Xenopus tropicalis: one gene and its partner. The protein of the gene in region 2 purifies or fractionates together with the protein of the main gene of each other region. This does not show direct contact. Links are inferred from orthologs where the notes say so. Each region holds a gene or a part of one and is shown on either strand. Other genes may lie near its edges.

Evidence for each region.
Region 1: the proteins of ndufaf3 (region 2) and ndufa13 purify together in Homo sapiens (co-immunoprecipitation; 3 studies listed by BioGRID and IntAct, with this or other methods). This does not show direct contact. The link is inferred for Xenopus tropicalis from reciprocal best matches to the Homo sapiens genes NDUFAF3 and NDUFA13.

Annotation. Positions count from the first base shown.
Region 1 is NC_030683.2:53,117,401-53,121,328, forward strand, and holds the start of ndufa13 (NADH dehydrogenase [ubiquinone] 1 alpha subcomplex subunit 13), read right to left. Parts: upstream 2,346-3,928; 5' UTR 2,323-2,345; coding exon 2,229-2,322; intron 221-2,228; coding exon 142-220; intron 1-141. UniProt on the Homo sapiens protein: Accessory subunit of the mitochondrial membrane respiratory chain NADH dehydrogenase (Complex I), that is believed not to be involved in catalysis. Complex I functions in the transfer of electrons from NADH to the respiratory chain.
Region 2 is NC_030680.2:136,757,521-136,761,448, forward strand, and holds the start of ndufaf3 (NADH dehydrogenase [ubiquinone] 1 alpha subcomplex assembly factor 3), read left to right. Parts: upstream 1-1,375; 5' UTR 1,376-1,423; intron 1,424-2,128; 5' UTR 2,129-2,153; coding exon 2,154-2,245; intron 2,246-3,514; coding exon 3,515-3,707; intron 3,708-3,928. UniProt on the Homo sapiens protein: Essential factor for the assembly of mitochondrial NADH:ubiquinone oxidoreductase complex (complex I).

The DNA of each region.
Region 1 (3,928 bases), on a different chromosome or scaffold from region 2:
TACACCAATTAAATAGAAATTGAGTTGAATGTAATGCAATGCTTCTTCAATATGAACAGTAAAGCAACCCAAGTTCTGGCATGACACACCTCCTTCTGAAGCCCAGTAATACTGAACAATTGATACAACTATTAGGTCTACCTCCTTTCTCTGTTCCAGCGAAAAATGCTCCAGTATCCAAAAAGCATGACCCCAGCACCCAGAGCAAACATCGAGTACCCTGCAGAGAACCAAAAATGACAGTTATACTACAGGTCAGGAGTTTTCACAATAAGCATTTGTAATCCCCAACAACAGATATATATATATATATATATATATATATATATATATATAGTTTGACGTGTTTCCATCAATAAATTTTTTCTTTATTTCTACTAAGTCCTGTGAGTGCGGCATCTAATTTGGACTGTGCTATATTATATATATATATATATATATATATATATATATATACTATACTGAATAGAAACATGGTGACTGTTTCTATTTCATACATGAGGTTAATGCAATTATGACCAGATCTTATAAATCAGATCACTATCATCATTTTATAGCACACATATCTGTCTAATGCAAAATACTGACTCTAAAGCTGGCCATACACACACCGGTGATATCGTATGAAACCTCTTTTCGCAGGATATTCGGTGCATGTACGGCAGATCGACGAGATGACCGATATCGTCATCAGATATCGGTCATCTCATTGATCAGCCAGGTTAAAAGATTTTGATCTGGCGCCATTGAAGGTGGGCAAACAAAATCCACGTCAGGGCTGAATAGGAGGTACAGTTCCTATTGTTTCTACCTCCACATCTTATGATTCAGCCCTGAATGTCAGTGGGGGAAACGAACAATCTTCTCTGCGACCGATACTACGTGTATGGCCACCTTAAGGCTAAGCACTGCAAATCAGCTAAATTGTGCAAGCATGGTGGCATGCCATGGGAGGGCAACACAATTAGTACACAGAAAATAGGGGTTATTTACTATGAACAAGGACAGGAGTGAAAGAGCACGAAGGGCAAGGGCACACTGAGTGGATCACTCGCTCTAGTCAGCCTGCGTTTTGTATGCAGATCGACTGTCTTCAGTTTTTTAGATCCATTGACAGGTATAGCGTTGGCCTGTATGGGGCTACACTTAGCGGATATCAATGTGGAAATTCAAAATGTATGCATTCTTCCCTCCAAAATCCACTCAGTGTAGCTCCACACAGGCTGACACCATGCCTGTAATTGGGGCTACACGAAAGACCAGATGACAGCAGCTTCTCTCTGCCTATATGCAAAATGCAGAAAGAAAAAGATATGGATGATCCAGCCCTAAGAGGTGCAAGAACCTACCTGACTACCTCCTGAATACAGTAGGTGCTCTTAGCAATGTCACACGATTGTGCCTGTTTAGTGCACTTTACTCCCTGCTCATCATAATGGCCCCTTATGTTACTTATATAGGCTACCAAATAGCCAATAACAGCCTTAATTTGGCACCCCAGGAACTGTTTATGCTTGTGTTGCTCCCCAACTCTTGACATTTGAAAGTGTCTCACAGGTAAAAAGGTTGGGTACCCCTGTTATGTAACAAAAAGTGAAATGTTTGATACAGTTCTAGTCACCTTTGGCAAACAATTAACAGGCAATATTTACTGATCACCTGTTTAAAAGCAATCATCATGTTGGTTGCTATGAGATTCTGCACCTGGGAAAGGCTGTGCTTTTATTACATATGGGGGCAAAAGCCATAGGGCCCTTTGCATAGCACTGATTAAAGATAAAGTTGCAAACCTCAAAACTTTATGTATGGCACAGAACAGAAATACTCTTTCTAGGTGTTTAGCATGGAAATAAAAATGTCATCGGGGGAAGCTCAGGCATGTGGCCCTACAAGTACTGAAAGCTGTAGATCACCAACAGTTAGGTTAGACATCACCGAGTGCATACTAAAAACAAAATGTAACAAGTGTTACTAAAAAAATGTTACAATTGTTACGATAACAGATATAATACCCATTAAAGGCCCCCCTAAAATACTGGTAAACCAGGTGCAAATCCCTTCTCCGCCCTAAGCATTATGTTCATAGATTATACAATACAACTGTCAATGACATCCTGACAACACTAATGTTGCGATTGTTTTTATCAAGAGAATGTGGCCGGCAGTTAATCCTGCCCTGCCATTTTGATTCCTGCATTTCATGCTTCGCGTTCTCTCCGCAATCTCACCGCTCAGTCCTCGGCGGGGTAAATTCCTCTTGTAATCCACAGGACCATAGCCCCCAGGAGGTGGCAAGTCCTGCTTCACCTTGGACGCCGCCATCTTTAGTTAAGCCCCTGTCGAAGTCCTCTGACCACTAGTGATGACATAAATCCACATCCCCTTTGAGCTTAGGCGCCATCTTACTTAATGGCAAACAAGGGGTACTCTGAAATGCGACTTTATTGTGGTGGTAGAAAAGCATTTTCGTGACGTCATATTTTTTGCGGTAAATTGTAGTGTTAGTTGACACATTTGGATTAAATTTTCTTATTAAAGGAATACTGACTATGAAAATCCATAGGAATGTTCGGTGTTACTAAATGGTTGCAGCATGAAAAGCTTTATAATTAAAACTCCCCCACAGCCCACCCCCTAGGCCAGTGGTACCTGCTCCCCTTGAAGGGGGCCCAGAGCAGAAAGAACCTTGCTCTTTTCTTGTATCACACTAGGTGGGGGCATCAAATCCTTCCATAGGCTAATTACAAATGGAAACAGTACTTTGAAAGCCTATGGAAGGATTGTGCCACCCCCAACCCAGCATGATGGACAACAACTGCATAGTCTCCTTTCGCTGTGTTGAAGTATCAATTGGGTAAGTACTACTCAGCTTGGGGTGTCTTTTGGGGACTTTTCACTAGCTAGAATTTTAAATTGCAACTGTTAGTAGTAATACTGACAAATTTCTATGGATTTTTATAGGAACATGTCAGTGTCACTTTAAAAATAGGAACAGAATTGAGGTGCAGTACCAGAAAAAGTCAGTAGATGGCACATGGCAGCAGTTTTATACCTGTTTTTTTTATAAGTAGTGGCTTTCTTTACCGTAGAGGGATAAGCAGATATGATGCTTCAGAATCTCTGACCCATTGCATACCACCATGATTTTCTCTTACTCATGTAATGTGTTTGCCAGTACCCACTATAGCTTGTGCAGATGATATACTTTGAGCACTGGTTCCTTTCTTCCAGAACCCATTGCCAGTTCCATTATATCTTATAGCTTGCAGTGTCAGTGTATATTTTCTCTAATGGTATTAAATATTCATAGGGTTGTAGTATCCACTTCTCTACACTGATTTTACCTGGGGTGCCAGTATACACTGCCTCAGGCTGTATGCAGTGTAATTCCCACTGTCTTTTACTATATCTAAGATAAGTGGTATATATAATGTGAAGATATATAGCGTACCAGTGTCCCTTGTCTCAGATTGTATCTAAGGTGCTTGGTACCAACTTTTATTATGTACTGTACCTGGGAGGCAGTGCTCACTACGTTACATAATGTTATAATGTACTAGGGTGTCAGTGGTTACAGCCTCCCACTATGTATAATTTATATGGGATGTCAAAAAAACACTGTCTCTCACTACCTAATATACTTTGGTGTGCCAGGACCCACTGCCTATACCTGCAAAAAATTTGCCCACAGAATTTTTTTTTTTAAAAAACTGTGTGCTCACAAACTGTGAAGAATTAAAGCAAAATTTAGCATTTTTACAAAATGTTTGTGCACAGTACTAGCGGCGAGTCGATGCGGTCCCTGAACCGACTGCGCCTATTACTGGCGTTCTAATTCGATTGTTTGGCCCCAGGGCCAAACGACTGAATTAGCCCAAATTCACCCAATATCGCCCACCCGTAGGTGGGGATATCGGGACCTCACCAA
Region 2 (3,928 bases):
GGGTCCTTGCACTTCTGCACGCTTACACTGAGCACTAATGTATATGTCGTGCCTCTTGTGTTGAATTGTGTGCAAGCGACACTAGGGAACCCTGAATCCACATCTCTGGACTGACTGCTAGTGCATGTATCGTTTCCAAAGCATTTATAGGCCGCTGCGGTTCTCCCTCATAGCTCTGTTGCACTGTCTGTGCCTGTAGTGCTAGAATACCTCGCAGTGTGTACAGTGTCTTTGCATCTATGCCATGAGAAAAAAGGAGAACCTTCCCTCGGGTGGCATTTACCAGGGGGTGGCAGAAATGTACTTGTATAAGGTGGGGGTGGCAGCCAGGGGCACTGATGCCATGAGGTGAGTTGAGATATTTGCCTCAGGTGGCAGCGGCCCGCAACTTACCAGGGGTAGCAAAAACAGGCACAGGCAATGTATTTTTTCTCTACCTACAGGGCACTTGTAGTTTTGTAATATATTTTTTATCCCTGCCTGCACTTAGAGCGTGGTAACTGTCTGAAAACCATGACATGCCACATTTTCTTTTGCTTGTGGGAATCTGCAGCCTTAGGCAGCCACATACACACAATAAATAGTGACTGTCTATGGAATCTTAGGGTCCCCATACAAGGGCCAATTCTATCTGCCGATATCGGTCCCTTAGACCGACTCGGCAGCTTATCGGCCCGTGTAAGTGCACTAACGACAGGCCTGCCTGACTGATATCTGGCCTGAAATCAGACAGATATAGATCAGGCAGGTTTGAAAATTTAGTCGGATCGGGGACTGTTAGCTCGCTGATGTGGTCCCCGAACCAACTGCGACTGCGCCTATGCCTGTCGTTCTAATTTGATCTTTTGGCCCCAGGGCCAAATGACTGAATTAGCCCGATATCACCCACCCATAGGTGGGGATATAGGGAGAAGAGCCGCTCGTTTGGTGGCCTTGGTGGCTTGGTTTTTCGCATATACATAAAAAACAGATGGCATCAGCAGAGGTATCATTTGGGGCAGAAGTTTGTCTAAGGCAGGTCTGGACTGGGATTCAAAGCCCTGGCATCTCAATTACTGGCATTTGCCAGAATCCACAGGTTGCCATTTGGGGCCTAGACTGGTGGGTCCAGTCAGAATCAGCCATATAACTGAGCCATATTTGGTGTGTACAGCCGTGATGGGACGGTCCCCTTTAAGATTCCTAAAGAAATATGTTTTCACAACACAAACTTCCCGCCCTTACAGCAACCAGTGCGTCCCGCAGCAATTCCCATAACATCCTACTTATAATGCAGGCACACTAACTGGCCACTAGATGGGGCGCTGTATGAAGTGATGCGGGAGTAAAGGCCGGTCTCTATGGTAGGTATCGGTGCCGGGCGGCCATGCTGTATGTACAAGGGCATGAATACACTGTGAGACTGTGGCATTGCTTCTCTCCGGTAGGTTATCGCTGGGGTGTGTGGCCGGGTCTGTGATACACGGTGTAGGGATCCTAGTCTAGGGGAGGAACGGGTGTAGGGTGGGACAGAATGAGTATTTACCCTGGGTCCCAAGGTTTATAGGGGGCACAGCCATGAGTGATGTAAACTATGACTCCCAGGATCCTCCAAAAGCCTTAATTCAACTATAGTTCAGCAACACTTTTCTGCAAAATGGACACCCCTAATTTATTGTGAATATAGCTCCAGATGAGACTGGGGTTATACCGCCATACAGCTACATAGCCAGGGGTACAGGCCAAGCCATTCAGTGATTCCTCAGGGATGTGCCCTCTGGCCACTCAGCCCTGCCCTTGGCTCTGGCACAGGGAATCCCAGCTGCAAGTTATATGGCTGTGCCAACTCATGGCATTATAGGGGCACAATACACACACATTCAGCTTTGTCAGCACAAACAGGATACATTGAACTGACACTTGCATTCTTCCTATTTTATTACCTTAACAAAAAGTACAAATTCTATTTCTTTTTCATTATAATGAGTTACAAGATGATTGTTGGGTTGTTTTACTCCCTCCTCAATGTAATGGGATGAGTTACAAAGGAAAACTGCAATGTATACAGACCTGCTCCTATATATAATAGATTTCTCCCGTTGTCCCTGCCAGGTTGTGTGATTAATGTATGAACTGCTTTTATTCACAGGCCTCTGTGATCCCAACAGACTGCTATGGCTCTCTCAGCAGCACTCAGGCTTCAGTCTCTGCGCTCTCTGGCCCCTCACTGCAAGCTCTTTGCATCTGCTCTCCAATCACACACACAGTAAGTATGGCACAGTGGGGCTCATTCATACACACATGGCACATTTGCACCAGGGCAGTAACCCATAGCAACCAATCTGTCATTAGATTTTTCCAGCCAGCTGCAGGGAGAACACGAAACGCAAACTTCTGATTGGTGGTCATGGGATACTGCCCAGGTGCAAATTTGCTCAGTGTTTTTAAATGCCACAGTAAGTAACAAATGCATACAATGTGTTGCTGCAAAAAAATGCAGTTTAATGGTTCAGGTTGTGTCTTAAGGTGCCCATACACGTGAAGATTCACTCGCTTTGCTCTGATCTTCACCTGATATCCCCACCTACGGGTGGACGATATCGGGGAACATATAGGCTAATAATGGTGGCAATGGGGCAGTCGGTTCGACTGAATCTTTTAACCTGCCCGATCATTATCTGGCCAATTTCAGGCCAGGTATCGATCGGGTCGTTTCTGCTCCTACACGGGCTGATAAGCTGCCGAATCAGTCCAAAGGATCGATATCAGCAGCTACAATCAGCCCATGTATAGGGACCTATAGCAAAGAAGCACCATTTTGTTTCCCAGGGCTAGTGCAGTGCAAATGTGTGATATTTCAATATGGGTTACTAGACTGGGGCAGCGTTTGCTCATGTGACGCAGTTTTTTGTGCCTAATTCAAGATTCAAATAACTTTATTAATCCCAAAGGGAAATTGCTTATGCTCGGTTACAGATGCTCACAGTTATCTAATAAATAAATAAAAAACCTCCGTAAAACAGTAAGTATCAACTTTATAGGAATGATAATACATTATGGCTCAGATCAGGCCCAGACTGAGGTTCAAAATAGGCCCTGGCATTCCAAGTACACATAGGCCCAAACAGCCCGCCCCCAGCCCAATAAATAGTGAGTGTCTATGGCATCTTACAGCAGCCCCTCTGGCATTTGCCAGAACCCACAGATTGCCAGTCCGGGCCTTTCTGCTGTAGGAACAGGAGTCACTTGGAGACCACCAAAGCAGGATTTTGGGTTATATAGCAGATTCTCAGTGCTGCCCCAGGGAAAGCACTGAGTCTACAGTATATCACAAAGTATTATTTGATTGTAGGTGGGAAAGTATATGTCCCTAAGTGACCCAGCGGTAAATAATGATCACTTCTAGAAGTTTCTTATGATACAGTGCAGTATGATGGTGGGTGATATTCCATTCAAATGTATATATGGGCAACGTGCATTCCTCCAGATTGTTATACCAATTGCCCTTAATCTGGTGACTCTACTTTGCTTGCAGGCAGCCATGCCGGTCTCACCGCCTTGCTCCAACAGACGACGAACTCTATCAGAGAACCACTGTTACCCGCCTAGAGAGAGACTCTGCGGAGTTCATGTTTATTGAGACTTACAGCTCACAGGGGTTCATTATTAATGGGGACAAAGTAGTGGGCCCGTGTGCTGTCATTCCGAAGGCCATCCTGCAGTGGAACGTGAGTGGGAATTTGCTTCATCCCAGTGTGACCAGCTGTCCTCCCAAACTGCTTGCACTGTGCAAATGACTATCCAGTATGCATGCATTGTCCTGGAGGGATTATTTTGAGGTTACAGTATGTGTGAGCAGGTTGGGGGATTAAACTGGGAAGTAACATACCTTTAGACACACTCCCCCATATGTAATAAGAGGCACTAAGTTTTTCTTGGAGTAGTAACC